Linked DNA regions of Oryzias latipes. The protein of the gene in region 1 purifies or fractionates together with the protein of each later gene. This does not show direct contact. Links are inferred from orthologs where the notes say so. Each region holds a gene or a part of one and is shown on either strand. Other genes may lie near its edges. The genes, in order: wwp2, parp1, ndfip2, polr2m, ptpn14, polr2d and angiomotin.

Region 1 (4,150 bases):
CGTGTGACAGCAGGAAGAACCACTCTCTGCAGAGCGAGAGGACAGACGGCGTTACTGCAGGGCGGAGCAAAAACCTGAAGATCATTTACGTCAGGACAACAGCTTTCATTTTCATTTAGGGAAGGGATGGAAAGCTCAACACATGTCTGGAGATAACACCATATAAGAAACACAAAGAAAAATAGAAAGTCCGAGATTCAGCAAAAAAACGAAACCTGTAAAACATGGAAGGATAAAAATAAAAAAGGAACTTTACACATTAGTGGAAAATAAAACAAAAATAAACGAAAGTGTTACAACTTTTCCAAATTCCTAAGAAAGAATTTCCCACTCTCATAAAGATTGTGTTTTTAACATGTTCTTGAGCCATTTTTCTCATGATGGAGAGCACATATAGAAAAACTTAAGACTTAAAACTGCATTTCTGAGTAATTCTTTATTCAAACCATAGTGAAAAAAAGAAAAAAAGGCATTGGAAAAAACTTGGGTGACATAGAAGCTACTACGGCAAGCCACAAGCTCCCTGCTCCGCTCCATCTTGATGCATCCACCAGACAAATAGATCTGTGAACGAGTTTGTTTTTCGTATTCAAGCTGACGTCTGGCTCAAAACCAAAGACTAGCTCCGATATTGCTCGCCATTTTTGTTGCACCGGTAATATTCGGTTGGGGTTGTGAGGACTGTAAGCTAACGAGAGAGCGTGCAAACAGATGGATGATGGGAAGGGAGGAAAGCTTACTCTGCACCAACAGTTCCACCTACAATTCAATTTCATATAAACTACTATTGCTCTGCAGAAACTATGTTCTAGTAAACTACACCTTTTATTTTTTTGTGGCTAAAAACGGCATTTAAAAAAAAATAATGCTGTGAACGCTTTAAAAATACATCAAGAGATGATCAGAATCAGATCAAATGTGTTAAAGTTTGTCTTGAAGCAATTCCAACGAACGACAGAGCAGAAGAATCTGAAGAGCAGATTAGACAAACTGTGGAGGAATGAATGTTAGACAGAATGAAGGCCCCTCCACCAGCAGCAGCAGCAGCGCTCCTTAAGCCCCGCCCACACCCGCGGGGGGCGTGCGGAGCGCTGGGTGTTATGGACTGACGGACGGGCTGACGGACGCAGACACCTCCCAACATCCCGTCCGTGGTTCTACCCTGTGGTAGAACAGCATGATGTCACCTACCATAGGGTAAAACCACTGACGTGACACCGGAGACAGAGACACAATGCAAAAAAACAAAAAAAAAACAAAACACCCAAAAGGGAGAACGATGAGAACACCACAAACAGAAAAAAAAATATATGCAGAGAGGAAGACCTGAAGGACAGCAGGAGGCGTGACAGGAACAGATGATGGTGGGAGGACAAGGGAGCTCCAGGAGGAGGAGGTTCTGCAACAAGCTAAAACATCCCTGTGTGGCTACAGGATGAATCTTTACACAGAAGACGCTTTTCTGCCTTCAACTCTGGCGTTTAAACACAGGGGAAGCTAACGGATGATTGCCACAAGAACCTGTAGGATCATGGATCTCCAAAAGTTAGCAAACTTTAATCAGAGCTCAGACAAATAGCAGGAGGATTACAGGGTTTAGTGTCGAACCTGATAAACCCGGTGATGCTGCATCCTGTCGCTACGGCAACAAATTGAGAAAACGCTGCCACCATCGGGTCATTAAAACAACTCCTAGTGCATGTTGGGACAACAGACTGAAATTTTAAAGCTAAAAATAGTTTAAGTCACGAGTTGATAATGAAACAAAGCATAACATAAACTTTGCGTTCATTCTCCATCACTAAACCTAAATATGTAATCTATAGGAGGAGGAGGAGGAAGCGGCAGAAGCTAAACATACACCAACACCACCCTCACCAACATCAAACATGGAGGCTTGTGTAAAGAATACCCACAGGTGGATGAGATGCAGGAAAACCAGAGAAGGCACATAAGACGACAGAATGCGAATGAAGGCTAAGGCGGAGGTGCGTTTGGATTTCTCCTCACCTGGCGATGCCGCCATAGTCAAGCCCCTCCTCCCCTCTCATGATGATGTAGAGTCGACGACGAAGATCGTACGGCTTCACATTCATGATCTGATGAAGAGAAGTGTAAAAAAAAAAAAAAAAAAGGTTACTAGTAAATTACTAGTAATTTTTTCTGTTAGAAGTAACAATTGTTTTTCAAGACAAAACATATTGAATGATCTTGAGTCATTTGATTTTAAAATACATCAAATTTTTAAGTGTATTATATTATTTTATGCATTTTAACTGTAATTTGTGTTTTTTTTCCTCTTGTAGAGCACTTTGTGACTGCTGTCTGTGGTACTTACCAAATATCTATATCATTAGAAATTTGCCTGAGTTGTGGATGGGACTGTTAGCATAGAGTGCCCCGCCCCCCCTTCCTATCACCCTTATCCGATAGTTCTCTGTTCACTCTCTATCCTGCTAGCTTACAGCCCCTCACATCCGTAATCCAACATGACCGGCACAACAAAAATGACAATATATGTCCTCCACATAATGAGAAAAATGCCAAAGTTTTAAAGTAAACATACATTTATGTATATGAATTTATGTCCAATTCTCATCTTACTTTTAGAAAAAAAAGGTTTAGAAATAAGGACTGTTGTAGCACGAGGAATAGCACAGGATTTTTTTTTGGGGGGGGGGGGGTACTTTATTTTAAATCATGTTTTGAAATATTTCCAGTTACAAGAGCAATCAATATACCTGACAATGAGTGTCTAACCCATCTTCAAAGGCCAGAACATCCTAACTTATTTGAAGATGAAATCTTAACACAAATTCACTATTTCCATTGGCACTTTTAAGCGAAAAACATCTCATACTCTGCTTTTTTCTTCAGTGTATGATTTTGAAAGCGGACAAGAGAAAGGAAAATGAAACTTGACGTCACTTGTTTAGTCTATGTTCAAATCCTAGAGTAGTTTTCAGTCTGACCTGCTGAAATGAATCCTCAAACAGCGTCTGTCTGGACACGGAGATCTTCACGTGGCTTGGCAAGGCGTTGGACTGCAGGGCAACAAGAACCACGAGAGGGTAAGAGTTAAACATATAAACACACACACACATATCTATATATCCATATATCTATATATATATATAGATATATATAAGTATATTTATATCGAGTTGCTGCTACAGTTTGACAGGTGTGCGTAAGAAAGTGACCAGTGAGTCCACTCACTGAGGCATGTAGCCAAGGTCAAGACGGTCTGCTATAGTTCAAACAGAGCATCAGAACCAGGAAGAAAGGTGGTTGAAGTGACTTTGAACGTTGCATGGTTGTTGGTGCCAGACGGGCTGGTCTGAGGATTTCAGAAACTGCTGATCTTCTGGGATTTTCACCCACAACCATCTCTGGGGTTTACAGAGAATAGCCCCAAAATGAGATCAGAGGAGAATGGCCAGACTAGTTCCAGCTGATAGAAAGATAACAGGAACTCAAAGAACCACTGGTTACAACCAACAAAGCCTGGTGCCACCGCCACAGTCTACCAGAGTACTGTTGCTGACCATGTCTATCCCTTTCTGACCACAGTGTACCATCTTGTACCAGCGCGGTGTCATAAAGCTGGAATCATCTTAGACATGATGATGCGTTCACTGGACTCAAATGGCCTCCACATTCACCAGATCTCAACCCAACAGAACACCTTTGGGACGTAATGGAACAGGAGATCGGCATCATGGGATGTGCAGCCGACAAATCTGCTGCAACTGCGTGATGCTGTCATGTCAATATGGACCCACCTCTCTGAGGAATGTGTCCAGTACTTTGTTGAATCAATGCCACCAAGGATTAAGGCAGTTCTGAAGGTAAAGCGGGTCCAGCACGGTACTAGCAAGGTGTTCCTAATAAAGTGGCAGTCCGTTTGTGCCTTCTATTTCTTTAGTAAGATATTTTCACTACATATTCATTTCAAAATAAAATAAATGGAGTCTGTTGATTTTTATTCTCCTCTCACATTGACAGTCTAACAGGTTTTAATAATTTTTTAAAGGATAATAAGTGTTCAATTTATAATTTATCCAAGAATAAATTAGGACGTGATCCTTTTGCCTCAAATAACAAAAAAAAAAGTAGTATTTTTCTGCTTGGAGGAGGCAAAACAATC
Region 2 (4,906 bases), on another chromosome or scaffold:
GCAGCCACCATGCGCAAGGAGATGAAGATGGCCACGTCGCTCTTCCTCGTTCTTTTTCTCTTCACAATCTGCTGGATTCCGCTCCATGTGATCAACTGCTTCCTCCTGCTTTGCCCAAAGTGCCCCGTTCCGCTGGAGCTGCTGCTCACCACCATCATCCTGTCCCACGCCAACTCTGCTGTGAACCCCTTCCTGTATGCATACACCATGACGGCTTTCAGGGACGCCTTTAAGGCCATTTTTCTGTGCTGCAGGTCGATGGGAGAGGCAGAGATTTTAAGTGGAAACAACAGAGGAGATGAGAGAACTTCTAGACCAAACCAAGTCTGTGAGAGCTGAGTCAAAGCTCTTAGTCAAACTTTTATATATATATATATATATATATATATATATATATATATATATATATATATATATATATATATATATATATATATATATATATATATAGTTTTTGTTACTCCTCACCCCTCAGTTTTTACAGCAGGAAGCCTCTTCTTCAGCTCCTCCTTGTCTTCTGCCCGCAGCACATTGAATCCCTTCAGCTGAGCAGCGCTGTAATCAGGTTTGAAAGCCAGCTCCTCTCTGCGGCTCACAAAACATGCAGTGTGGTACCAGCGGTCGATCAGGCCCAGCTGAGGCTTCTCTGCATCCACCACTTTCTTAGACACACGAATCTGATCCTGGAGGAGAGGTCAGAGGTCACAGGCGTGCTTTCCGTTAATGAACTGTTTAAACGAAGCTGCAGCAAACCTTTTCTATTTTCTGCTGACATCCTTTGCACGTGCTGCGGTTTGATTTGGCGTACTCCACCGCAAAGTCGTTCAGCGTCTTTTCTCCTTTAGCCGCACCACCAGAGTTTCCCTTTCCTGCAAGATGGAGACCTCAATTTACCCCGCTGTGCTTTAAGTCAGAATTTTCAACAACCTACAAAAAGTAAACAAAAGCGACTTTCCGATGACTAACATTCACCACGCTGATAAACGTCAATTCATTTCCCGTGTGCACAAACAGCTCAGACAAGCACAGACCTGTTCCGGCCACTCCACCACTTTCTATGGCTTTTTTGACAGCTTCCTGGTCCGCCCAGCGGAGATCCGAAAACCCGCCGACATCGGCCGTGGACTGCACCGAGGCTCGCTGCCAGAAGCAGGAGAAGTGATGCCAGTGAGGGACCTTCCCGTCGAACATGGGGGACTGCGGGACACAGAGTAAACATAGGCGTGAACACATTCAGCTGCAGAGTTATAGTTTTCAGTCTGTCTGTATCTGCCGGGTTTGGATGATTCTGGAAAAAAATGATGGGTTTGCTGCTCATATCAGATCATCTGAAAGCTCCAGTGTAGTTTGGTGGTGAATTGAACAAGATAGTTGAAAAGTTGAACAAAGAACAGACAAAAAACATTTTTATGAGACGAGTAAAGGATGTAAAATAATTTAGCAATACCGTAATATTTTTTGAAGGTGAAATGGGAGGAAAAAACTAACCCTTTGAAAAAAATAATTGTACTATTGTCGCCATGTCCTGCTCCTTTTAAAAATGACTTTTCTCAATTTTTCTGTACAGTTTAAGAAAAATAAGAGGCTTTTCAAATTATCTTTAACATTTTAGCTGTAGTGACTCGCCAAAACAAAAGCGCAATTTTGTTTTTATTTAAATCATAAAAAATACCTTCAAATAAAAACTTGAACATCTTTCTAATTCCACAAACAAATACAAACTGTAATAAAAGTTTTGTTTATATATGTGTTTAATTATTATTTTTACATTTTATTCCTTACGTTTAGATTTAAATTGCTCGCCTTAAATTAAACATTTTAACTGTTTATTTAATAATATCAATAACCATCAATTGATCAGTCTGAAGGATGGGAAATTTACAAATATAAATCTGAATACAAATGATTTAAATATATATATATATATATATATATATATATATTTTTTTTTTTTTAAAGTTTAGTTGGTGCCAATTTTTACTCTGTGCTTTTGATATAAAATTTTTGACAATAAAAGCAATCAGTCTAGATATGATCTATTTTTTTTTTATAAATACCTGTGATTGATATTTACATTTTTCATCCTAATTTTTAAATTTGCATTAGAAATTAGTTTTATACAATTTACTGGATTATAGATAATAATTTTTTTACCTGCATATTAATTTACTTGAATGTCAACGTATTTTTCCAAAAATATAAATTCTACTTGCATTAATTGCTTGTAGAATAATAATTAATTATGCAAAGTTTAGTATTTCAAATCCATCTGCTGAAACGGAAGCCTGTGGTAGACAAAATACTAAATGAATAAATAAAAGGAAAAAGCGAATGAAGTAAAGAAAGTAGTGAGCGGTACACGTTCCCCCGAAAGACAAGCGATAGAATCACCAAGACTGAGTCAGACTGAGAGGCAGCAGTGATTTTTCCTCACATTTCTGCTTGAATGCCGGAAAGTGCATTTATTTGGAGCATCTCTGCGGCTCTTTGTGCGGAAGATTTAGCAGCCATAAATGCTAACGAGGGCCCAAACCAGTCCAGACGAAACCGGAACTACTCAGGCCTATATATCACATTTTCAAAAACACACTTTTATTTTTTTTTTACATCTGCTGAAGCTGCTTGGTAAACAAGTGAGTCTGTAGGAATAATTCCGCTCCCGGGTGTTTCCTTGGACCGCCGCTGCTTACCTGCACCACGATGGCCATCCTCAGCGAGTCCTTCGCGATTTTCTCCTTGCATTTCTTGCACGAAGCCTGGCCGCTTTTGGCGTACTCTGCTCGGAACAGCTTGTCATTCTGGGAGTCGGCCATAGCTTCCCTTTATCCTTAAAAAGCTGAACCGAAGACGACAAAGTTTCTCCACCAGAGCACGAGGAGCAACAACAGGGACAACGCGAAGAGCAGCGAGCAAGATCCAGTAAAGAGGGCTTACTCTGACTCTTTTTTGTCAAACCTCCGATACAAGCGTTAGTTGCCAATGGACGCTGAACCTGGGCGCATGTCCACAAATATCTGATAGATGCGGGCATATTTATCCAGATAGCTACAGAAATCACAGCTAACCGAACCTAAGAAACGGGGTTACATACTTCCATTCCTTCAGCATATCTTTCAAAACATCTTTGCATGCAGAGCCTGTAGAATGGAAGTTTATGTTTTTTGTTGTTGTTATGAAAATCATATTTATTGTTTAAGTTATCCATACTCACAAGCTCTTATTTAGAAATTTAGAAAACAGCCGGCTTCTGATATTCCTTGGACATCATTAAAAGAAAATGACAATTGGCTTTTCTGCAGGAAGCTTCTTTTCTTTCTGCTTTCATTTACTTACTACCATTCTACCTTTTCTTTCGTTTTCTTTTATCTATCTACCTATCTATCTACCTATCTATCTATCTATCTATCTATCTATCTATCTATCTATCTATCTATCTATCTATCTATCTATCTATCTATCTATCTATCTATCTATCTATCTATCTATCTATCTATCTATCTATCTATCTATCTATCTATCTATCTATCTATCTATCTATCTATCTATCTATCTATCTATCTATCTATCTATCTATCTATCTATCTATCTATCTATCTATCTATCTATCCATCCATCCATCCATCCATCCATCCATCCATCCATCCATATCTATATATCTAATTTTCAGAAAGTAAATAGTTTAAAGTAAATTAGACAAAAAAGTAAGACGTACAAGAAGAAATATGATTTTGTGAAGATCTCTTGGTATGTAAATCACTTTTTTCATTGAAAAAAATCAGATGGACAACATAATTATTATCCTATAACTGTTGGAATAAACTGTCAATCGTGGAAATAAATCAAATATTACATTTTTTGTGTGCATGTATACTTCTACTTTTTGTTACAAGTTTTTCTTCATAATGCAACTTCTTCTGTATGTTTATGTTTTTAAGTCTGACCTTAATAAGAAGAGCTAGGCTATTGTTTTCGTATTATTATCCTTAGATGTTTTTTAGAACAATGGTAATTTTTTTGTTCAGTTTTGTCGATTGGAAGAATTAAAGAAAGAACTTAAGATTTGATCAACTGAAATATATTTATTTATAAATTTATTTAAAAAAACAAAAACGAAATATTATTATTTATGTATATTTATTTGTCCTCTTGGTCATTCCTCAGGAGCCACTCAACCGCATAAACAACACTCCTCTAAAATATGTTCAACAAAAAGTATTCAAACTTGAAATGTTTCATAAAAAAATGTCAAGCGATCCATTTTTCACAATAGACGATATTTGGATACCTCACAGAGTACCCGCGCTCGCTTCAGTCTAAAACAATCGAATGAAGAGAAGTCGATCCTTGCAGTCTGAAAAGAAAGTAAATCCTTCACTTTCAAAATTATAGGTTTCCATTCCATGTAATGGGTACGTTTAACCAATAAAACTTAAATTGTATGACTAGTGTGATAAAAGTAGAATGCAATAAGTATTAAATCGTTTTTTAAATTATTTTAAGTATCAAAAACAGACAGAAAATGTGTTTATTTGATGGACGGCAATCATACAATTAAACATTTCTGTAAAAAATGTATAAAAGCATGGTATACATGTAAAATGAACAGCACATGATGTCTAAAACACCAACACGGTTGCATTTATAGAGTTCGTATGGAAGATACAGACAAAAACCAACTCATGTGTGATGAAATAGAACAGGGGTCTGCAACCTGTGGCTCCAGAGCCACATGCTGCTCTTTTATCCCTTCATTGTGGTTCTTTTGCTTTGAAGAAAAATGCTAACATTTTGAAGAAATAATAGGGTTGTTGGTCATTTATTTTTAGATTTTTAAACTGAGGTGAACTTAGATGAGAAAAATGTACGTTTTAACCACTACGTTATACTAAATCAAGAGCCCTTGACA
Region 3 (3,213 bases), on another chromosome or scaffold:
CGTCCAGGTGGATCAAAGAGACTTCCTCTGTCAAAAAAGGGGAGTGGAACACCTGAAACTGAGGCATCGGGATCTGTGATATGTAAAGCCATCAGTGCACATCTCAGGGGTCTCCCTCACATGCTCGGGTTCCTCAAGTACAAAAACCGTTGACCCGTTTTGAAAGCCTGAATGTTACAGAGGAAACTGGTACCTTAGATGTTTTGAAGCTGGAGAAAACTGTGATCTCTGGAGAAGAGGGAACATTTTAAGGGATGATGGGAAAACATGGGAAAGTTTCCTCATCGGGGTTTCGGCTGCTCCTGCAGGATCCTCTCTGTGCTTCCGGGGTAAATTTACTTAATTTGCATCGATTCATTTGTCTGAACGGCACCGAAGAAAGATCAAGCTTCGATTTGAAAGGAAAACAAATAACAAAAAAACTCGCAACTTTTGCCTCCTTGGTTCCTGCCCTGCCTCCTCCTCCTCTTGGCTTTCAGGTCCGTAGCTCAGGTCATTCGAGGGGAGGGTGGGGGTTCACATTGAGAAGGAATGCTGATGCTGTGCAAACCTGAGGGAAAAGAAGCATTTAAAACGTTTGAGAGGGTTTAGTGCTGGCGTCCAACAGGAGCATCTCTCCGTTGAGTTTTTTCACACTTACCTTCAGTAAAGAAAGAACAGGCGCGTTCTGTGAGAGGTGGCCATGTTCTCTGTCATGTTGCGAACCTTTAAGTAGTTCACAAAGCCTCTGAAGAAGAGCAACAGTCCTGCGGAGAGAGAAGAGGTCAAACCCCATCCGATCAGAATTTTCTGAAGGATAAGCATGTTAAAAACTCACCGAGAAGCAGGAAGATCCACCAGAGCCAGTACTGACCGTTGAAGTAGCCAGTGAAGTAATCGGAAAACTGAAAACAAGAGGACAAAAACACTGATCGGGTTTTTCTACCTATAGGGAGACTCTTGAAAGCTTTTTGTGTCTGGTTGTACCCGAACAATGAGAATCCACTTGATGAGGGAGAGGCCAAAGCCGCAGATGGCACCGTAGCGTCCTGCGATGGTGTTGGTCAGACAGAAGGACAGACAGAAGCCAATCCAGTTGAAGAGGAAGGCCACTGCAGGAGCACAGACACAGGAAACCCTCGTCGAAAGGCTCTTATTTTGACATTTCTACCAGACTTTTCATCTTAATGCTTCAAATGAGCCCCTGTTATAGTCAAGTCATCATAAAAAAGGGTTTGCTTCTTAAACATCTTGTGATTGTCTGACCTTTATGGTTAATTTTTTCATAGATGATAAGAGCGACTTACTAAAAAAAGCTAGCATGAAAATCCCATCATTCCCGACTCGGAGCTGATCCGCATCACTGAAATCGTCCCTGGGAGGAAAGTCGTCGTCCTTTTGTGGACACAAACGGATTTAAAACATGAGAACAACATTTACAAAGTAAAACTAAAAACATCCAATCACTGATGATTCCTTAATTATGTATTTAAGGATTTCGAACGCTGTTTGGACACAATATAAACTATAGAAAAGTCAGTGAGGACATGTCTTCCACTTCTAGGTAGGGATGCACCACAAGTATAATTTATGGACAAAGCCAAAAAAAAAAATTCAAATGTTTGGCTGAAAAATGTGGATGTTGAGATTTTCTCTGTTTGTTTCATTCCTTCTTTTTTAATTTTGCATAAATAGTCTAGAATAAATAAACGCTTGGTCATCTAAAGCCATGTGCTTTATCTATCTATGGCGCTTTCCTTTACCAACTTTTTGTCTTTTCAGATACATGTGCCACAGACTGAGTGCTGCGAGCTTTCCTTTTAGCTGCTGTAGCATTCTCATGTTCATTTGGCTTTATACCATGGTCCGGGTGAATACTTGATTCCGATTGGCTGCTGGGTGTGCATTAAAAAGTGATATACCACATTGATAACCGCACGGTGAAAAAAGACGTTCCGGTCACCTAGCTTAAATGTTTTGTATCACTGCGCCCGCTTCTTTTAAACAACCATTTGCTTCATTATTTTGACAAAAACAAGCAGTAAGAGGTGAACTTTCTCTCTGAACTGATGCTTTATTCAACCCATCCGGACCATCATCATATATATATCGCCGAATCTTGACTGCAACGATGGTGCGGCGTGACGCAGACTTTTTGTTACATGGTCAAGTAACAACAAATAGTCCACTTTTTGTGAGAAAAGCGATCCAAATCGGGAAAGAAACATGAATTACGGACTAAAAACTGGTAAATATATATTTCTTTTGTTAGTGACCATGGTATAAGCGGGTTAATGGCCTTTGAAGTGTGCATTATCACTTTTTAAAGCACTTCGCGGAAGCAATGGTTCAGGCTTCTATGGGGTGCGTTAAAAAGTAATAACGCAGACTTCGTCTGCCATTAACCCTTACTTAATCAAGATGTGTTAAAGGTTTTAGCAGATAAACCCCCTCTTGTTCGTTTAGTTCAACATTCACTGGATCCAGCAGTTCTATTTGTCGCTGTCAGTCACTTTAAAACATCTCCACACTGACAAGATTTTAAATAAGGCGCAAGATCATCAATGCACATTTATTAACCAATTTTACATTGCGTCAAACGCCTCTGATGGGCCTTATTTTCTCCCACTTTTTTCCAGTATTTGGCCCAATATATTTGGTTGACAAATATTTTGTGCATCCCTACCTCTACAATCGATGTGGTTTGTTTTCATGGGCGAAACGCAGACATGCTGCCGAGGCCGGCTCCAGGCTTACGCCATGAAAGGGGGGGCACCCTCAAGGAGCGAAAGGCGCGGATTGGAAAATAAGCCGAGAAGATAACTCCTATTTCATAAAGAATTCGTTTTTATTAGCTGTGGATCCACTTAAAGCTTTTACAGGTAAAAGTAAAAGCAGCTGATTTGCTGAACAGGGTGGAGAAGTGGAATTCATTAAGGAAGTGTTTCTCTTTTAACCCAAAAGAACCCAGACTCATTTTTTTAAAGATAAAATTATGTGTACTTTACCACTAACCAAATGGACTACACAATCCATTTCTGACATTTTTCTGTTACACTTGTTTCGGTATGTGTCAAGAAAACAACATGAAACAGATATGTGGATGTGAATTTACGCGAGTGTCTTCTCACCCTGGGCATCACTTCCACTGCAGAAGCAGCCATGGCTGCTGCTTTGGCCTTTTCTGCCTCATCATACGTGGGGAGGGAAGTAGCAACGCTGTAGGGTGGAGGC
Region 4 (4,824 bases), on another chromosome or scaffold:
AACAGTCACAATGTCCCAAAAAAGTCAGTTCCACCTGCTGATCAACTTGAAGTGCATTTTTTTAATTTTAAAAGAAAACTTCAACTTAGAAAACCAATTTAGGATTTAACCTCACAGACTCTGGATCAGCTGAAGCTGTTATCTTGACAGAACTTGAGAAGACCTGAGCTAAACAGATCCATCATCCTAACTTAACATTTAGTTTGCTAAGCTCAGTCTATCCACATCTCCTTCATGCTAAGATGCATGAGAGCTCCACATAGTGAGGTCCAAAGCATCTTTGAGCCAAAGGGCCAACGGTTTCCTCAGCTGGTCCTCCAGGATCAGTCCTCCTCTGAGGAAAGCTGTGCTTCTTCATCGTGCACCTCTCTGTAGGCGCCCATGGAGCCGCCGTCAGGGTTGTAGCCCCCCACCGACATTTTTAGTCCCTCAGACAGTTTCTGGGCTGCCAGCTTGGCCTGCAACTCCTACAATCATACACAAGATTTGAAGAAAAAAAACAATAGGAAAAAGTGCATAAAGAGAGCAATAAACACTGAAATATGACTAATAATAATAAGATGATTTGACTCTTGCATTTACAGGTATTGGTCTGCATGTAAAGTCAGTGTCTGAATACTGCCCTCTGGAGTTCTTAAGGGAAAATGACAACTATGAAAAACCAAAATGAAACAAACATCAAATGATGTAGTCAGTGATTCATTAAAAACACATTTCACTAAGATTTTTATTTTACTTTGAACCAATTTATTCACTTTTATTTTCAGTTTTTTATTCAAACCTGCATAACATTTGTCAATGTGTGCTTTTGTGCAATGGCAGATAATAACATTTTGTTTTGAGACCATTTTAACAAAATAATAAAAAAGAATTTATGAAAATGCCCCTGTGGGCAAATAATGACACCTATATTACCATCAGTCCTGCACATATATGAAAACCTCCACAGTAGCAACTGTGCATTGTTAGAAAATCTTCTGAGTGGTCCACAACAAGCCCAAAATGATAGACATCAGTGATGAAGCCCTCTCAACACTTCACAGCCATTTTAAATGGCGAGTCATATTGATGTGTGTGAGAGGTTTCAGTCACACTAACCTGCTGCTTTCTGGTGTGTTCTACAAGTAAGGCAGCGGACTCTTCAAGGGTCAGGAGTTGGGCAGGATTGTGATGAAGAGGAGGGAGTTTGGCCGCAGTGACATCATCCAGGTGTTTCTTGTCCTGCTCCCTCCTGGCCTGAGCGGACAGCGGCGATGCATCTCCAGAGGGCTCACCTGGTGACGAGGATCCTGACGTTGAAACGTCACTTCTGTTGAGCAGCCTGAAAAGAGGGTTAAAACATTTTGATTTTCAAGGAATCCAGATGTTTATCCCTAATAAAACAGACATAAATGCAAATAATATATCAAAGTTTTGAAAGAAATAAAGTAACTTACTGATTTGGTTTGAATTTTTGCCTGATGGCATGTAAAGAGGACTCTCCTCTATTCAGGACAGCAATATAGTGAGGCTTCTTTGGTGTTTGCTTTTGGAGAAAGTAATTGGTTGTTGCTTTGCTGTTAAAGGCTTCTTTGGACTTTCCAGTATTGGACTCGGATACCTGGACCCTGTCCAGGGCTTCCACTAGCTCACTTTCTTTTATCTCTTCAGATTTAACAGAGGGTTCGGCAGCAGATGTGTCCATTTGTTTTTCTAAAGTGGCATCTTTCTTCGTTGGTGCTAAATCAGGTGTGCTTTCCGTTCCTCGTGAGTCCTCTCCTTCCTCATTTTGGTATGAAGGTGCTGATGAGGTGACTCCACGTTGTTGCGAACTGAAAGCTTGCTGGTACTTGGATTGTAAATCGCTCCTTGTAGCAGACAGTAAATCTCGCCTCCTCTCCTCTTCGATGCGCTGTTCAATGGCGAGACGCACGTTGTCTGCAAAATCTTGAATTTTTTTCCCTTTGTCTGGAAGAGTCTGTAATAACCTCCTAAAAAACAACAAACAATCATCTTGTAAAGAACTCATCGAGCAGTTATGTCACATGGCATTTATCACATCTCTGCCTCTTTTTCTAAAACAAACAACAACTTAATCTGTGATTTATACACAACACAATAAGCATCAGTTGATATGGTTTATGATACATTCCTAGCTATTTTGATGCAACCTCGAGGCCCACTGCAATGAAAATTCGGTTTTTAACGTGTTCTTGTGGCATTTTTCTCAGGATAGAGGACATATACATGAAAAAAATCTTGTTGTGATGTAGAAGCTACAGTCGGCAGGCCACAAGCCCCCTCCTCCTCCACGCCATGATGCATCCACTTGTAGGAGACTGGATCCAGATGATCAGAGGGGGACTCTAACATAATCCTCTTGCTATGATTACATTCACTGTTGAAAAGGGACATTTTTCGAGCAAAACATTTGTCTTTGGGAGTAACTTTTTGTTATTAAAAGTTAAAAGATGACTAAGAATAAACAATATAAACGAACATGTAGCATCTGGAATATAAAACATTCGGTTAAAGCCCAAAGTGGGCATTTTAAAATGTGCAGGTTTTACTTTTAATTTCTTAACAGTTGGTATAACGTTAACATGATGGAACCGAATGTGTTGTAACTATTTTTAACTGCTAATATACTATGGTCATTAAACAAATAAAAAAAAACTACAGGAAAATGTCTCTTTTGTCGTCTAATAAAAGGCCAGACTCACTTATTGGAGAGGATTTTTTCCTGTCGCAGCAGCAGCTCCTGCAGTTCTTCTCTGCTCTGGTTCCTCAGGTCTCCAACCTTCCCCTGACGCTGATCGGTCCACGACATTACTGATGGCTACCCGCTTCCAACTGCAGCCATTCCCACACAACGAACTGTAGATTAAAATTTGACTTTAAAACTATACGACAAAAACACTAGAAACAATTTACTAATAAAACAATCCGCTCTACGTGAAACCTTCTTTGAGTTCCACTCATGACAACATTTCAAAGTGGGACCTTCTTCTTCTTCTGCGGAAATTCAACGTCTGCTGTGACGCTCTTTCTCCCTCTACTGTACAGATCACTGTACTGCAGCTCGTTGGCCGTTGGAATAACACATGTAATTTGCTGCCCTCTGCTGGCCAAAGGTGGTCACGACTACCAAAAACGATCATGAGGAGAATTTCCCAATACAGTAAATTCAATTTCAGTTGTACAAAAAAACTAAATTTCCAACCGATATTATCGCAAGGTGAAAAATCTAGGAGAGCAAGAAACAATGAATCAAGTAATTACAATCTCCAGTTTTGTGGGAAAATGACAAAAGATTCAATCACATATCATTTTAAGTGTTTTAGAGGAAATAGTAACCATATGTCTTACTTAACCATTTTATTGAAGTTATCTTTTACTCAGATTACTGTGACAAATACCATGACTCGTCATTGATTGCATGAAGCACGTCACAGCACCAGTGGTGCCCACAAAATAATTTATTTATTTTTTTCTCCAACTACATTATTTAAAATGGTTTTATAATCCAATTTAATCCATAATATTTCATTCGGGTCAAATTGGCTAACTCTAGTTTTTTTTTTTCAATAAGTGACCAACAGATTACATCAAAGAGTATGTGTCGCAATCCTTTATGAGGACGCAAACAGACAATTGTGAAGTGAAAATGTAACAATTTAAGTGGAACAAATGAGAGCGACCGTTTACACTTAGTGGTTTGGATTAGAGGACAGGAAGACATGTAGACAACACAGGGGCAAACACTGCAACCACATGACAAAGACATTCCAGTTAGGAACTGTAAATGTATTAAATGCATTCTTAAAAAAAAACAAAGCAGAAATAAGAAAAGTATAAAGTGAGGCCCTTGTGCTATCTTATGGGGTCCAAATGACCCCACCCTAGCATTGACGTGTTATCCCTACCAGGACAAAGGTAGATAAAGGCGAAGAGGATTTCATGTTATCCTTGGACACCAGTGAAGATTACAAATCATTTAAGAAAAAACGTTCAGCGCACTGTCTTGTGGGGTCCAGATGACCCCACTCCCAATGTCAAAGTGCCTATGATAGCACAAGGGTTAAGGTCATCCAGGTCAAAGAGAACTTTTTCCTTTATCAGAGGAAGGCTTTAGTTGCATTGAAGATAAAGATGGTGTCTGCCTCCAGAATTGAACTGGGGAGTTGGTGCCACAAAAGATGAGCCTGAAAGCTGAAGGCTCTGTTTCCCTCAAAAAAAAAAAGACAATTAATCTCTTGTACCTGTTTGGCAGAAATGAATTAAACTATAAATATATTATCAATAAATCATTCTATCCCAAGAAATAAACAGCACTTTGTATTCATCTTTTCTTATTTGCTTAGTGAAAACAATGCATAGCAATACAATACCATGTCTTTTTTATTTTTTAAATATGACATTTTTTGCTCACGAGATCTTAGTTCTTTGTTATAGTTCAATATTCTGTAGATTTCTTGTTTCTTTTGCAGATCAGACCATCCCATCAGATTCCTTAAACAAAATGCTTAAAACAGGGCAAAAAAACATCCCTTTTGTAGATCCTAGGCTTTTTGTTGATCTTTTCTTTCTTAACCGGTGTTGTCGGTGTAACATTTTCCAGTATTGCATTCTTCTGTTTTCCACAGCTGCATTTCCCCTTTGGAAGGTTTCCAGCCAAAGCGTCAAACCATTTCCACCCAACTCAGCAGACAATGACTTTCACTTCAAGTTCCAGCTGTGTCCCTGACAGTGCAAAGTCCTTAAATCAGTTTTGCATGGGTAGAAAATGATTCTATAAGGATAGCCTTTAGCATAACATACATCATTTTATGAGTTGTTTGCTTT
Region 5 (4,150 bases), on another chromosome or scaffold:
ATGGATGTTTTAAAGCAGTAAAAACCTCTCACTACACACTTTTCTCAGACAGACATGAACAACTTTTCTCTCGTGCTTAAACTCTCAAACTTCAAACTGCATAGAAAAATGAGTCCAGTTTTATAGAATGAAAACAAAGATCTAACTGCGATGAAGATTTCGTTAATCTGTCAAGCATGTGCAGCACCTGTGTGAAGAAGACGCTGCCCATGTCATCTCCTGATCTTGTCAATCATAAATATTAATTAGAAAAAAATGGAAAAACTCTGCATAACATAATCTGTCAAACATTCTTACCCCATTGGCAGACTTTCTTTGAATAAGCACAAAAAAAGAATCTGCTATTGCTATTGAAAAACTTTCTTGATAAGATTATTTTTCTTACAAGACAGAAAAACAGGAATGTTTTCTTGAAACAAGGATCTGTTTTACCTTCTTAAGATTCCGTTTTTGCATACTGTGCAGAATATTCTGTGTGTCGATTATTCGCCCAATATGTCTATGGCTGTTATATAATCTAAAATGTATAAACAGTTATTTTATGTTGGTTTTCTGTTAACATTACATTACGAACCAATATGCAACTTGTTGGAAAATGTGATATTCACAATCTGGCAATATAAGAAACTTTTGACTACATTTTATAGGTTTTATCTAATGTCTGTCTCATCGTGTCGTACTAAAGCTTTATTTTCTTTCTTTTTCTTTTTTTTTATTGCCAGGATAGCCAGATTGTCCGCAGTAAATGGAGATGGTCTCCTGGTTGTATCACGAGCATCTTTTTCCTTCCCAAAACAGCGCAGAAATAAACAGAGTAGAACCGCCTGCTGAAAGAGTTTGTGTGTGAACGAGCTGAGGCCGCCTGCAGACACAACACCCACCATGTGAAACGCGATGGTGTCGTCTCTGCTCGTTATCTCCACTGTGATGGCTGACTTGTTGTGTGCTATGGTACCGATGTCCTTCCACCTGTCACACACACAGGAATTAAACATTCCCACCCGGCTGCATCATGAATCGACTGCAAAAATAAAGGGAAACCTACTTGTGGAGCATGATGGACCTGCCATTTCTGTGTTTGACAAACACTCCAATAAAAGACACTCCAATAAAAATGTCGTTGGTGTAGTTGTCCTGTAAAAAGAAGAGGAAATGCTTAAGAATAAAGGTTTTTCTTTAAATGTAAAAGATTTGTGAGGATAAAACGAATCTACCTTAGCAGGAAAGCTTTCCTGTCCAAAACCATCCAGTTTCTCTACCTCCTTGATGTACAGCAGCTCTGCTTTAGCGGTTTGCATTCCACTACAAGGTAGAAAAGCGCAAGCAATCACTCTTTCATCTCCTGCTCAACTTGCAAAGGTTTTTTTTGTGCAGAGTACACATTCAAGCTGGGAGTACCAGTGACTTTTGTGCTCTTCTGCAACTTTTTGCGTCCAATCCTCCAGCACTTCATCTCCGTTAGGCCAGTTCTGGAAGGAAAAAGAAGCGGAGATAAAGGCCACATGTCCACACGCTCTTTCTGCAGGTATGCACCAGGGGAATGCGTACCTTCAGGCCGCATATTAACACCCAACCAATCACATGCAGATTGAATTTCCGAGATTTTAGAGATTTCAGGACTCACCACTGGGAAAAGCACGTACTCCCTGAGGAAGTCCTGAGATGGGAAGTGATTGAAGTCTCCAAAATCGGCTAAAAGAATCATCAAAATGAATCATTTTAAACGTGTACATGTAATAAATCAAATTCAGATGAGTGACTAATGGCTAAAATCATGAAAGGAGCAGACATGAAACTGTAAAATGTCTTTTAAATAAACAGAACTTCTGAGATGCGACCCAGTCAGATGCTGTCAGTCTAAAGCTGCAGATGCCAAAGACTGAGCCAAGAAATACCTACAAAACAGGTCATCGTCCGACTCCTGGGAGTAAAGCCACTGCTAGAAGGTGAGCGCTTAGTAGATTAAAGGATGAAAACCAGCCGACAAAAAAACACCTTAAAAAAGCTGACAGTGGCTTTAACTTTGAATAAAGAACAACCAAGTAAGTAGGAAAGTGTATTTCTGTGCCAATTTATTCTGCAGGGTTTTAAATTTGAAGAAAAAAACGGTAAACTTTAAAAAGAGCCTTAGCTTCACCACACAATGTTTTAGTTTGCCACTGGGGTCATCTATAACCAAAACTTCCAGCATTAAATGACACGTTTTAGGTCTCCATTAGAGGTGAAACTATCAAATCTAGTGTTCAGTTGCATTTCAGCCAATAATGCTTTCTTGGGTTTAATCTTCCTGACTAACTTGTCAAGATTTGGCCCGAGAATAAATTAAGAACTTATCGTACACATCAACAAAGCCCCCGTGTGCACGTCATATCTATAACATGCTCATTCTCCAGATAGAGCTTGTATCAACCACTAAGTGCTGTTTGTCGGACAAAAGGAGGCAAAGAGGAGGATCCTTGCCTCCCAACAGATAACCGTCTTCCTGATGCTGCGGAGGCTAACCTTGGAGCTGCTGATAAGCTCACTGTCTGTTTACATTCCCCATGGGACGCAGACAGCGCTCGAGGATGGAGAGTGTGTGTGCATGTGTTAGGACTGATACCATAGGAACTCGAGTGGACTGGTTCTCCCTGTGGTATGCAGCCATATAAGGCAGCAGTGTCAAGATGACCCGAGAAAGCGCCGGTTTGTGCGCACGCTTCCCTCGGCTGCTGCATTTCTCTCTGCTAGATTAAACACATGTGATTGATATGAATCTTACCTTGAACGGCTAGTCCAGCTAGTCTGATGCCCTGTTCCATGTTGCAATGGAGGCGTCCATCCAAGACATCCTTCTTCACTTGCAGGTAATACTGATACCTACGTACAAGGCGAGAAAGAGGACACATTTTCTTGCAGGTTCGAGCCAAAAATTGGAGGTAAAAAGGAACCAGTGGGGGAAATTATCAATTAATCAATTAGAGGGTCATAAAATCATGAAAAAAATTATAAATAAAATATTTTGGTACATAAGAAGCTACACAAAGTTATACTGTATAATTCCCTATGCACAGCAGGAATGTTGGCAACCAAAAACTAGCCAATGGGTTATAGAACTTCATAATATTTAATGTATTGATGACAAAAACCAACAGAATTCTAAATTTTGAACCTCTTGTACAACAAGAGGTTTAAATATTCAAACTGTACGTCAGCGTTTTCTTTGTACGTCTGGATATTGCTCACCCTTTTTTGTTGCACCACTAATGTTAGGTTGGGGTTATGAGGGGCTGTAAGCTTGTGGGAGGGCGTATAAACAAAGGGATGATGGGAAATGAAGGATGGCTCACCCTGCATCCTGCCTACAACTCAGAGGTGAATTTCTGATGAACCACTGCAGAAAGTATGTCCTAGACAATAACAGTTTTTTTGATTTTGGGTAAAAACAGCATAATCATAATTAAAACACCACTTGAAAGGCTTTTAGAATAGATTTAAAGATGATTGGAGTGGGTCTTTATGAGAAACCATGATGATTAGCAACTGATGAACTGCAAGCAGATGACCCACTCACTCTTCACTGCTCTTAGTCAGCAGCCACCCTGAGCCAAGGGAGAGAATGTTGTTGCAGAAATGAGGAATGAGTGAGTCACTTTTACTTAAAATACCAAAAGACATATTTCTCTAAAGTTTACCAGTTGGAGCTAAACAAAATGGTCGCAAAGGTCTGTGATCATTCAGGAGCCTGACACATTAGGCACTGGATATCATCTCTGGTAGGATTTACACAACACAGAAGCATAACAGTTACAGTACAAATGTAGGGCGAACTGGGAGTCTTTTCTCTGCGGTTTTGGGCAGCCGTGGTTGGAAGTGTAAGCTGATACAGTGACAGTGTTGAGGCTATTTGCAGCCTTCAGAAAAATGTGGTAAAAGTCCCGAAACCAAACCAAAATGCAGCGGGCTGCTTCGGTTTCTGGGCTTCTTTTGTTCCCCTTTCTAATTGGATGTTTGTAGAATGAGAACGGCCACACAGGAAGAAAGGCAGAACTGTCAGGGTGACCAGGCTCAGCTGCATGAAAACGCCATTTCCTGTTTGCCGCCATGGCAACCACAGACCGAGGCTTTCCAAAGCGCGTCCAGAACACCTTTTATGATGTACACACACACA
Region 6 (4,934 bases), on another chromosome or scaffold:
ACCGTAGTGAGTGTTCAGAAGAACAGTTTAAAATGTACCCCCCAATTCTCTCCCTGCTGTGTCCCTGGGGCCAATGCTAATACTGATGCTATATCACGTCTTTACATTTTTTAATTTATATTGTGTATATAACTTTTTTTTTTTAATGGACAGCAATCCATCTAGGAATCCTTGGTGGAGAAGGGAATGACAGCACCTGTGATTCATTTGCTGCATCTTTTCCTGTTTCACCACCTACCTACCCTTTAGCTGTAATAAAGATTGGAAGATTTGATGAGATCCCTCCCTGCCTCTGTCCCTATGGTCCACCGGCTCTCCTTCTCACTTTGTGATTCTTTTTGTTAAAAGAGCTTTACAAACTTTGCTTGGTTGTTCCTTGGTGTAGTTTTTTTAAATTTTTATTTTCAATCAACACAATAAATCCAGTTCCCTGTTCCGCTCCTAATAAGCGGTTTGGACAGACAACCACACAAAAGCACTAAAAGGGGTTCTCCTGGGACAAGAAGGTTCTGTTGGGAATCAATTTTGCGTGGACTCTGACTCGAAGGTGGTCTTGCAGGTCTGAGCTGGCAGTACGAGTGGGCGGTGTTCGGGATAAGCTCACTGATGATGGATTTGAGTTTCTGCCCATAGGTACCCGAAGGAGCAGAGCACAGATACAGTTTTCTTATCAACATGTGCTGGATTTTCCACAGACCGGATAGAATCAGACACACAAACAGCATCTTGTGTGCCTTTAAAGTACATCAAGATTCTGCTGGGTGGTGGGTGGATTAAATGTTCTGTGATTTTTCTGGTCCCGGTGGAACGTGAACCACGCTGCCTCTGTTAAGGAGAGTTCTGGAGGTCTCAGGTCCAGCTGCTGGTCCTGGTCTTAGTACTGGAAGCTCCTCTTGGTCTGAATGTCATCCAGGATCTGTTGCAGCTCTTCATCCTCAAAGCGACCCTCCAGACTGAGAAAAGAAGCAGAACCCGGCAGAACTTTATTCTCTCAACGATGAATTATTTGATAAGAATTGTAACAACATCACCTGCAAAACGATCCATATCTCAGTAAGATACAGTGGTGGACAAAATTGTTGACAGACTGACTGATTATGAGTTTGAAGACAGCTATGATGTCAATTTAAGGACATACCTGAGTTCATCATGACCCCCTGGGCAATTAGTTCTCAGTCTGTTATGGAGGTACCATCATTTTTGGCCAACCCTATTTCATTAGCTTTTTTTTTTTTTTAAATAATTCTGTCAATCAACAAATTAAAAAGCTGATTTTGATTATTTCATTTTCATTAAATTTTAATTTATTGTTACTTTTGAACATTTCAAGTCATTTTAGTGAGAATTCTGGAATTTGTTTCTATAACTGATGGGTACCAACAATTTTGTCCACCACTGTATATTTTCACAAAAATAATGATCACTAAACAATCTAAAATAACTTATCTGCTATTTTTTAATGCATAATAATTTCAACAAGAAACCAATTCCTGACAAGTAAGAACAGCATAAAACTACATGTCTGTGATGAATTGATCCAAAATGTTTTCTGATCCAGTTTAGGATAATCTCTCAGGTTTTCTCTTTGAATTAATTCAATTAAAGCTGCACACGTCTGCCCTTAATGTAAAATAGTGTTACTTCGACATTACTAAATAAATCTCCTTGGCATCCAGACTAACTTATACTTTTACTCAATTTACTGAAAGTGTTAAAATAAAATAAAAAGTCAAGCCTCCCAAAAATCCTAAAATCACTAAGGTGTTCAGAATAATCTGATGTCAGGTGAATCTTTTCACAGATTGGTTAACGAAGACCCTGTAATTTATGGGTGAAAAGAACAAGTCCGGTTCAGTCCAGACTCACCTGGGGGTCAGAGCTTTAGCCTCCTCTGCAGCTTCAGGACACAGATTCGCCAAACTGGCCAGCTCAAATTTATGGAGCTTCTTCTGCAGGAGGAGACTGAGACAGACAGAAAGGCCATTAGGACCCAGATCAGGGCCAGGACCTGGGACCAGAAGGGGCATCCTTACCTGCGCACGGCAGTGATGGTCTCGCGGTTCTTGAAGCGGCTGAAGCGGGCCGTGTAGTTGAGAGTCTTCATGAAGACCTCGGACAACTCCTGTTCGTCCTCGGCGCTCTCGTTCTGCTGCTTCCTGTGCTCCAGCAGCATGTGGACCTCCGAGTTCAGCAGCGTCTCAGAGTTCTCAAACTCTGCAGACAGCAGGAGGGGGCTGGTTAGTCACTGAATTTGAGCTCAGATTCTACAGAATATCAGCTCCAGAACCATTTTGATTGAAAGACAGAAGGATTCCTGCAGTGATTGTGGACTGGAATTTAAGGCCTGTTTCAAGAAGTAGGACAAAAATCCTGCTGATCAAAGTCAGCCTGTACTATTTTAGGAAGCTTGTTGAGTCTCAGACCTTCCAGGACAGCAATCCATGTAAATTTAAACTTATAGTTTACTCTCAGCAAACAAACAAATAATTCTATCTTGATCAGTGGACCAAACATCATGATGATCACAATACATGTGTGTCAGTGAGAGAAACATTTAACCAGTACAGATGATGATGGTCGTATAATGAAAATATTCAGATTCAAATCGGTGATGCAGCTTACATAAATTAATAATCAGGGGATGATTATCCTCATCGGTCACATATAGCAACGTAATTGTTTCCAATACAGGTTACACTGTAACCTAACAAAAAGTTTCGGAAGTAAACAGTATTTGTGCGCGCCACCTTTGGGAAACAGCAACTGTGACGCGTCTTCTTCGACGTCTCCCACGTGCGAGGAAACCGAGCTTCCAGCGGCAGTCATGTCGAGTCACAGTCACGGGTCGCAGAGGCGCGCAGTACCGATGAGCTCCGTCAGCTTCTCTCGGAGACTACGGTGAGAACGTTAACTGTGCAGAGAACAACGGCGCTCGGGGAACTTCCGGTCACAACACCGATCTACTTCCGGTGATATTCTTCCTCTGCTTTCTTCTGGTTTAGGCGGGTGTCATCTAGCAATAATGGTGCGCTTCTGCTACCTACTGTCCTGGAAGATGAAGTGTAGGAACTCCCCTCAAACACAACGATAGAACTGTTCAGTCATATATGCCCTTGTAATAAATAATTTATTTCCTTGTAAATAAATGTTAAAGTTAAAGATTTAAAGAAAACAATTGTATTTTTGTGTTGAAATTGCTTGTTGATTGCATGTACTTTGAATCTTTTTGGGGATGAGTTTCATTTGTGGTGTTCAAATTCCTCTGTTCAAGTCTCATTAAAAAAGAACAACATTCTTTTTGGTGTAATTTCACATAACAGTCTGTTAAATTTAGTTTAAAATATTTTAACAATCAAAAGCAAATTTTATATTCATAAAAGTAAATTATTAAAAACCAAACCACTGTTTAATGTGTTTCTTAAGTAGATTTGTTTAATTCATGAAAAGTAAAAAAGCAAGAAAATGTTTCAACTTTTTTAAAGGCATTAAATTATATCAAAACTCTTCATATTTAGGTGTTTTTTAGTTGACTCTGTCTTTGTTTTGCTTTCTTGTGTCTTTATTTGATGATCTATCTCATTTTTTGTTCTAAATGTTCTAACTGTTTTACATTTATGTTTACAGGTTCCTAACTTAACATTTGTAGTGTTCAATAATAAAAGACCATGTGAGCTCGCCATAGCATAGACCTGCTGAGATTTTTGGTCCCTGATATTCATTTTAACTTTATTCATCTTTTCCCCTCTCTTTTGAATTTCTTACTGATATGTTTGTCAGTGTTATTTATATCATATAAAATTTGTATTTTTTTTAACCATGTGACCTTTAAAATACAAACCTTTATTTTATAACTAAAAATGTTCTTTATCCGCATTATTAGTTTTCAACAGTTTCAATTGCTTCTTGTATTTCCATGTAGGTACATTATCTTGCTGTGACTGGTCTTTATTCCTCTCTAGATGCTTCTCTACCTGCTCCTTGCAGGTCATAAGGTCATATGCAGACTTTATTTAGTCTTACTTTATTTATTTATTTATTTAGTCTTACTTTAGTCTTTATACTCCACCTGAAGTTGCCACACGTTTTTTTTCACAGCTACACTGGTAGCAAACACTTCTGAAACTCTGTAAACTTGAGAATGAATCTGTAGCAACTATTATTTTCTCACCTTTTGTAATCTCCTGCAACTCCACCAGGTGGCGTGGTGATTCAAATTTCAGAACGGTAGGGTTGGAATGTGTGTGAGGTTTTTACATTTTGTGTGTCCATTGTTTTTTCCAAGACCTTCAGGTTCCTGAAGGGGTTCAAAGCATGTTTTATTGGTAAATTAGGTACTCTACTCTAAAATTGTCCCTTAAGAAGTTTGAATAGACTTCTGATGGTCTAGTAAAGTGCTTAGAGTTATGTTGTTTATGCCCTGAAGTAACTGGAATGGACTCCATGCCCCCGTAGTCCTGCTCAGGACTATGGGGGCATGGAAGATATGTCTTTGTAAATTCCAGACACAGTTGTTCTTCAGTGGGCCCTTTGGAAAAATGTTGCATTTAATTCACTTGTGTTTCATTCTTTATGTTATTACTCTAACAAAGCTCGTTTGTAAAATGCTAAATTATTTGTACAAAACTTCAATAAGTTTTAATAACGTCATTGTTCCTCAGCAACAAATATTGAAAGAACATTGAAAGACCTTGAAAAGTTGCAATTTAATTGCATCCTCAGTGAATAACTCAAAGGATGTTTCGGGTATTTCTTCTTCCCGGCCCCTTACTCAGTCGACCCAACCAGTGGTGATCAGTCCCCATTTTCTATCTAAGCAGCATGTTATGTCATGGCTCCTCTTCATGAGCCACTTTGAAGCTTTTTTAGCTTCTCCTCTTATGTTTCTGGTGGACCCTCTCTGCAGCCACCCATGATGTCAAGAAGCCTGTAAGCCT
Region 7 (4,150 bases), on another chromosome or scaffold:
GTGTGTGTCACTCACTCTGTGTGAGCAGCTGTGAGATGGTCTTGCGGTTGTCCTCTGAGCCCTCGCAGTCTTTCGTGGCGAGCTGCTTGTTTGCCGTCTCCATGCGCTCTTTAAAACATCAAAACCGGAAGTAAATGATCTGGACTCACACAGACATTTCTAGTTGTGAAAAGACAACTATTGTTATTTTATAGTAAGTTTGTGCATCAAAAGAAACATATTTATTCTTATACTCAAAGTATTGTATGGGGGGGGGGGGGGGGGGTCAAACTAGGACTATCACCAGCAATTTCCAGAATCGGTTTGATTCAATGTAAAATGTGATGAAATAATAAACCAATGCGATTGTTAACAGCATCCAGAGTTAAATTAATTCTTAAAGGGAGAAGCTCCAGCAAAAATGAGCAGATTATTATGTTTCGTTTGGCCACTAGGTGGAGCTCGCGCTACAGCCTAACGCTTTATTCCAGAAGATTTGAGGGGAAAAAACTGTGCAGATTGTTACTTTGTGAAAAAAAAAAAAATCTTTTTCTTTAAAAGAGTTTGGAAAATTCATGCCTGTGAGTATATAAATCTGTTCATTTAGTCAGCAATGTGTGTTTAGGTCGAACGAGCGTTAGCATCAGCAGTCTTATGTGAAATTCCATTATACGTTAGCATCAGGCTAGCAGACTTTTTAACTGCTGTTATGCGTTAGGTCACCGGAAAAGGAGGGGCGTAAAAGATCGATCTATACTTTTATGGATCGATTATTGACTTATAAAGCTTGGATCGATTCAGATTAATAGATTGATTTTATCAACCCAGCTCTCGGTAAAACTTTGAAGGTCAGGTCAGGATTCACAAGTTTTCTCGGTCATTTTCATCAAATCTTCTTGATGTTGATCTTAAAAAAATTCTTCTTAGCTTGTTTTTTTTTCTTAGCTTGTTTTTTTTCTTTCAAGGTGGTCAAAAGGATCAGAATTTCTTTCTTTTTAAAATTATCAGGAAATAAAGCTTCACAAAGTTCTCCATATCTTTCATCTTCAAGCACGGCTCCAATAAAAAGATAAACTGTGTTGTTGTTTTTCTCGTAAATTTATGACTTTTTTTTCCTAAATGTATTAATGTTTTCTCTTCTAAATTTATAAAAACAAATTCTCATATATTAATGACTTTTTCAACCTAAATTTAAGACATTTTTTCTCCTAAATGTATTACTTTTTCCTCCTAAATTTATGGCTGTTCTCTCATAAATTTGTGTTTTAAAGTCATAAATTATTACTTTAAAAATGAAAATGAATGAAAATTTATAAGAAATAAAAGTCATAAATGATTTTTATAAAAATACAACTTTATTCTACTTATTTGACTTTTTTTCATAAATTTAGGACTTTAATGTCGTAATTGTAAATGTATTTTTGTGTTTGTCAACTAGTCCTAAAACTTATGGTATTGTTGTACTGTTAGTATGATTATGGGGCTAAATTTAATCAAAATCAAAATACTTGTTTGCATAAAAATTTCAAAGGTGTAACTAAAGATTCTTTTTTTCTTTTTTTTTAAGGTCCTTGTTTTTGTGTTTTGCTCTACCATTCTTTTAATCATGTTATATAAATGACATTAGTTGTAATAGTTTTCATTTTCTCGAATTCTAACCTTTATGTTTTAGAGTTTCAAAGACAGTATTGCCATTCTAGTTTAATATGCGTCTGATTGTATGTAAAAACAGAGTTTCTATAACAATATTGGTGTTTATGCGCACTTAATTATGCATATTTGGCGTTTTGCGGGTTATTATTTTGAGTTTTATATAAATGTGTATAAACAGCAGATGTCTTTATGAGGTGCATTTATTTATTGTGTACTGTGGGGCAAAAACGTGTTGGGCAGTTAAAGATGCTGTGAGTTGTCCCACGCAAGAAGATGATACACTTCCACTGTGAGAGAAAGAATTTATAAATAATAATCCAGGAAATCACATTGCACGATGCACAGTAGGAGCCTCTATTCTTGCCCTTTGTCCTCTGGACACAGATCTCAGATGTTGTTCCTGGAATCTGCTAGAGCCGCTCTCCCAGTTTGTGTCTGAAAGCTCCGAGTGCTCTAATCCCCACAGGGACCTCTTCTCTTTCAAGGTCTTCTTTCAATCTTTAGTGCTTCTCTGAGGGATCAGTTGTTTTGATGTCATTCTAGAGGTTGGGTTTTCCTGATTCTTACTTCATGTCTATGACTGTCTAGTAAGTCATTTCTGCAGTCTGCATCTCTAGAAACCCATTTCCCACCAGCATGTTTTGGATCCAGCATGAGAAGCTCTGAGTCCTAGCATGCAGACATCTGCCGACCATCTTAGCCTCCTCTCTCTGTGATGCCTCGGTGGAATAAGACAAGCTAAAGCTTCAAAAAGTCTTTCAGAAGAAAGAAAAAGTGTTTTGTAAGCTATAAGTGAGCCTCTAGCATCTTCCTTCTTGCATCTGTCTGCAGGTATGTGTTGACCTGTAAAATCCTTCCAAATGTCTGATCACTGATGTGGGCTCGTTGAAGAAACATAAATGGTACGCTCATTAATCAAGAAGTTACGAAAAATAAAATACACAAGAAAGATCTTTGTTCAATAGATCTATTGAAATTTTGGGAGAGCACAAATGGGAGATTTGGATGTAATCCCTGCAAAGGTCAGTTCTAACTGAACAGACAGGAGGCAGGAAGGACAACAGGAAGCAAAGCAGCATTCCTAAATTCCTATGATGAAGAGAGATTTGCTCTTTGTGTGCGTCTGTGCTGCATAAATAGATGCTAATTGTGTTATGAGCACATTGATCTAATCTCATTTTGGGTTGGGCCTCCCTTTTCCCTTCAATCACACAAATTCAGACTAAAAAAACATCTTGTTGATAATTAATCTTGAACTTATTGTACAGATTTGCCCTTTATAAGCGCATTTGCTAAACCCACTGGTGGCTGTTTGCACCAGAACCTCAGTGTGGTGCATTTCCACGCTGTGATTCACCCTGCCAGCTCCGGGCCCCGCCCTGCACTCACCCCTCAGGTCTCTGTTGAAGTCGTGCAGGCGCCGCACCTCCAGCTCCAACTTGTTCCTCATGGTTTTCTCCAGAGCTTCCCTCTTGGATGAGGATTTAGCGAGGTTCTCGTAGGCCTCCGACACCAACTGGATCTCCGTTTCCAGCTGCAGACAGGAGACGATGCCGCATTTGATTTTCTCCCACGTTTCTACTTTTTACTCTGAAAACGTTGTGCCATCGCGTTACTTGATGGACGATAGGGCGGAATTCTGCAGTGCAGGTAAAGATTTGAATATCCACACAAATAAATATGAGGCTGAAGAAATGTGGATGTGCTTTAGGCCTTCACCAGGTGTTACCTTTTGCAGCTTCGTGACTTTCTCCCGACAGGCCTCCATCTCTTGCCTCAGCATCCGGTTCTCCTCCGTCAGCACATCCACCATCTGTTGAGTACGAGCGAGCATGGCGTAGGGCTCGCCTGGCAGCTGGCCGTAGGAGTGTGGCATAGGAAAATTCCCCGGTTGAACCATCATAGCCGGTTGAGGATGACCTTGAAACTGTTGCTGCTGCTGGTGCTGCTGCTGCTGGTGCTGCTGCTGACATGGGTGATGAAGCTGCTGATGATGGTGCAACCTCGGGGTGGAGCCATAGGGATCGGCGGGGAAAGCGTGACCTCTGTGCATGGGTGGGTGACCTGGACCTTGGATGCCTGGCTCGGCTCCTTGGTGGGAGCCTGTGCCATGTGGACTACGAGGTCCAGACATGTGGTGAGGCTCCCCAAGAGACTGCTGGTGGGGGAAGGACGGATGCGAGGAGTGGGAGGCAGACAGCATGCTGCTGAGGGTGGAGGACTGGGCGCGTGACAAGGAGCCAACAGAGGTGACGGAGGAGGTGGGACTGTGGTGGTGAAGCGACCTCTGGTAGTGAACCGAACCCTCCTTACTGGATCTGAGGAGACATCAAGCTATTAAATGACAAATTGATTGAAACTAACTGTTTATTTCTATGTTACCTCAAATTGGAAAAAAGCGTAAAATTAAATTTGACTCTTTAAATGTCTTTTTTATTTTTAAAACATGGAAATTTTGGGAATTTAAGGGGGGGCGTTGTTTTCATCATTTGTTCATGAATTTGGGCCATAAAAGTAA

The links.
Region 2: the proteins of wwp2 (region 1) and parp1 purify together in Homo sapiens (affinity purification with western blotting; 3 studies listed by BioGRID, with this or other methods). This does not show direct contact. The link is inferred for Oryzias latipes from reciprocal best matches to the Homo sapiens genes WWP2 and PARP1.
Region 3: the proteins of wwp2 (region 1) and ndfip2 purify together in Homo sapiens (affinity purification with western blotting; 3 studies listed by BioGRID and IntAct, with this or other methods). This does not show direct contact. The link is inferred for Oryzias latipes from reciprocal best matches to the Homo sapiens genes WWP2 and NDFIP2.
Region 4: the proteins of wwp2 (region 1) and polr2m purify together in Homo sapiens (affinity purification with mass spectrometry, with the first as the bait; 3 studies listed by BioGRID). This does not show direct contact. The link is inferred for Oryzias latipes from reciprocal best matches to the Homo sapiens genes WWP2 and POLR2M.
Region 5: the proteins of wwp2 (region 1) and ptpn14 purify together in Homo sapiens (affinity purification with mass spectrometry; 3 studies listed by BioGRID). This does not show direct contact. The link is inferred for Oryzias latipes from reciprocal best matches to the Homo sapiens genes WWP2 and PTPN14.
Region 6: the proteins of wwp2 (region 1) and polr2d purify together in Homo sapiens (affinity purification with mass spectrometry; 3 studies listed by BioGRID and IntAct, with this or other methods). This does not show direct contact. The link is inferred for Oryzias latipes from reciprocal best matches to the Homo sapiens genes WWP2 and POLR2D.
Region 7: the proteins of wwp2 (region 1) and angiomotin purify together in Homo sapiens (affinity purification with mass spectrometry; 3 studies listed by BioGRID and IntAct, counting the BioPlex papers as one, with this or other methods). This does not show direct contact. The link is inferred for Oryzias latipes from reciprocal best matches to the Homo sapiens genes WWP2 and AMOT.

The regions. Positions count from the first base shown.
Region 1 is NC_019864.2:27,508,752-27,512,901, reverse strand, and holds part of wwp2 (NEDD4-like E3 ubiquitin-protein ligase WWP2), read right to left. Parts: intron 3,045-4,150; coding exon 2,973-3,044; intron 2,100-2,972; coding exon 2,011-2,099; intron 1,227-2,010; exon of another isoform or gene 1,132-1,226; intron 27-1,131; coding exon 1-26. UniProt on the Homo sapiens protein: E3 ubiquitin-protein ligase which accepts ubiquitin from an E2 ubiquitin-conjugating enzyme in the form of a thioester and then directly transfers the ubiquitin to targeted substrates.
Region 2 is NC_019882.2:7,703,621-7,708,526, reverse strand, and holds the start of parp1 (poly [ADP-ribose] polymerase 1), read right to left. Parts: upstream 2,924-4,906; 5' UTR 2,814-2,923; coding exon 2,691-2,813; intron 1,198-2,690; coding exon 1,032-1,197; intron 870-1,031; coding exon 754-869; intron 684-753; coding exon 469-683; intron 1-468. UniProt on the Homo sapiens protein: Poly-ADP-ribosyltransferase that mediates poly-ADP-ribosylation of proteins and plays a key role in DNA repair.
Region 3 is NC_019860.2:18,751,767-18,754,979, reverse strand, and holds part of ndfip2 (NEDD4 family-interacting protein 2), read right to left. Parts: coding exon 3,111-3,213; intron 1,375-3,110; coding exon 1,287-1,374; intron 1,092-1,286; coding exon 967-1,091; intron 885-966; coding exon 818-884; intron 747-817; coding exon 643-746; 3' UTR 641-642; intron 551-640; 3' UTR 1-550. UniProt on the Homo sapiens protein: Activates HECT domain-containing E3 ubiquitin-protein ligases, including ITCH, NEDD4, NEDD4L, SMURF2, WWP1 and WWP2, and consequently modulates the stability of their targets. As a result, may control many cellular processes.
Region 4 is NC_019861.2:21,378,784-21,383,607, forward strand, and holds the start of polr2m (protein GRINL1A), read right to left. Parts: upstream 3,053-4,824; 5' UTR 2,942-3,052; intron 2,857-2,941; 5' UTR 2,810-2,856; coding exon 2,703-2,809; intron 1,971-2,702; coding exon 1,437-1,970; intron 1,322-1,436; coding exon 1,099-1,321; intron 468-1,098; coding exon 324-467; 3' UTR 1-323.
Region 5 is NC_019882.2:9,194,729-9,198,878, reverse strand, and holds part of ptpn14 (tyrosine-protein phosphatase non-receptor type 14), read right to left. Parts: intron 2,860-4,150; coding exon 2,762-2,859; intron 1,693-2,761; coding exon 1,625-1,692; intron 1,470-1,624; coding exon 1,399-1,469; intron 1,303-1,398; coding exon 1,215-1,302; intron 1,135-1,214; coding exon 1,046-1,134; exon of another isoform or gene 970-1,045; coding exon 882-969; exon of another isoform or gene 723-881; intron 1-722. UniProt on the Homo sapiens protein: Protein tyrosine phosphatase which may play a role in the regulation of lymphangiogenesis, cell-cell adhesion, cell-matrix adhesion, cell migration, cell growth and also regulates TGF-beta gene expression, thereby modulating epithelial-mesenchymal transition.
Region 6 is NC_019878.2:10,414,362-10,419,295, forward strand, and holds polr2d (DNA-directed RNA polymerase II subunit RPB4), read right to left. Parts: upstream 2,963-4,934; 5' UTR 2,827-2,962; coding exon 2,748-2,826; intron 2,215-2,747; coding exon 2,034-2,214; intron 1,963-2,033; coding exon 1,867-1,962; intron 954-1,866; coding exon 875-953; 3' UTR 370-874; downstream 1-369. UniProt on the Homo sapiens protein: Core component of RNA polymerase II (Pol II), a DNA-dependent RNA polymerase which synthesizes mRNA precursors and many functional non-coding RNAs using the four ribonucleoside triphosphates as substrates.
Region 7 is NC_019872.2:12,817,895-12,822,044, forward strand, and holds part of angiomotin, read right to left. Parts: intron 3,951-4,150; coding exon 3,362-3,950; intron 3,167-3,361; coding exon 3,022-3,166; intron 109-3,021; coding exon 16-108; intron 1-15.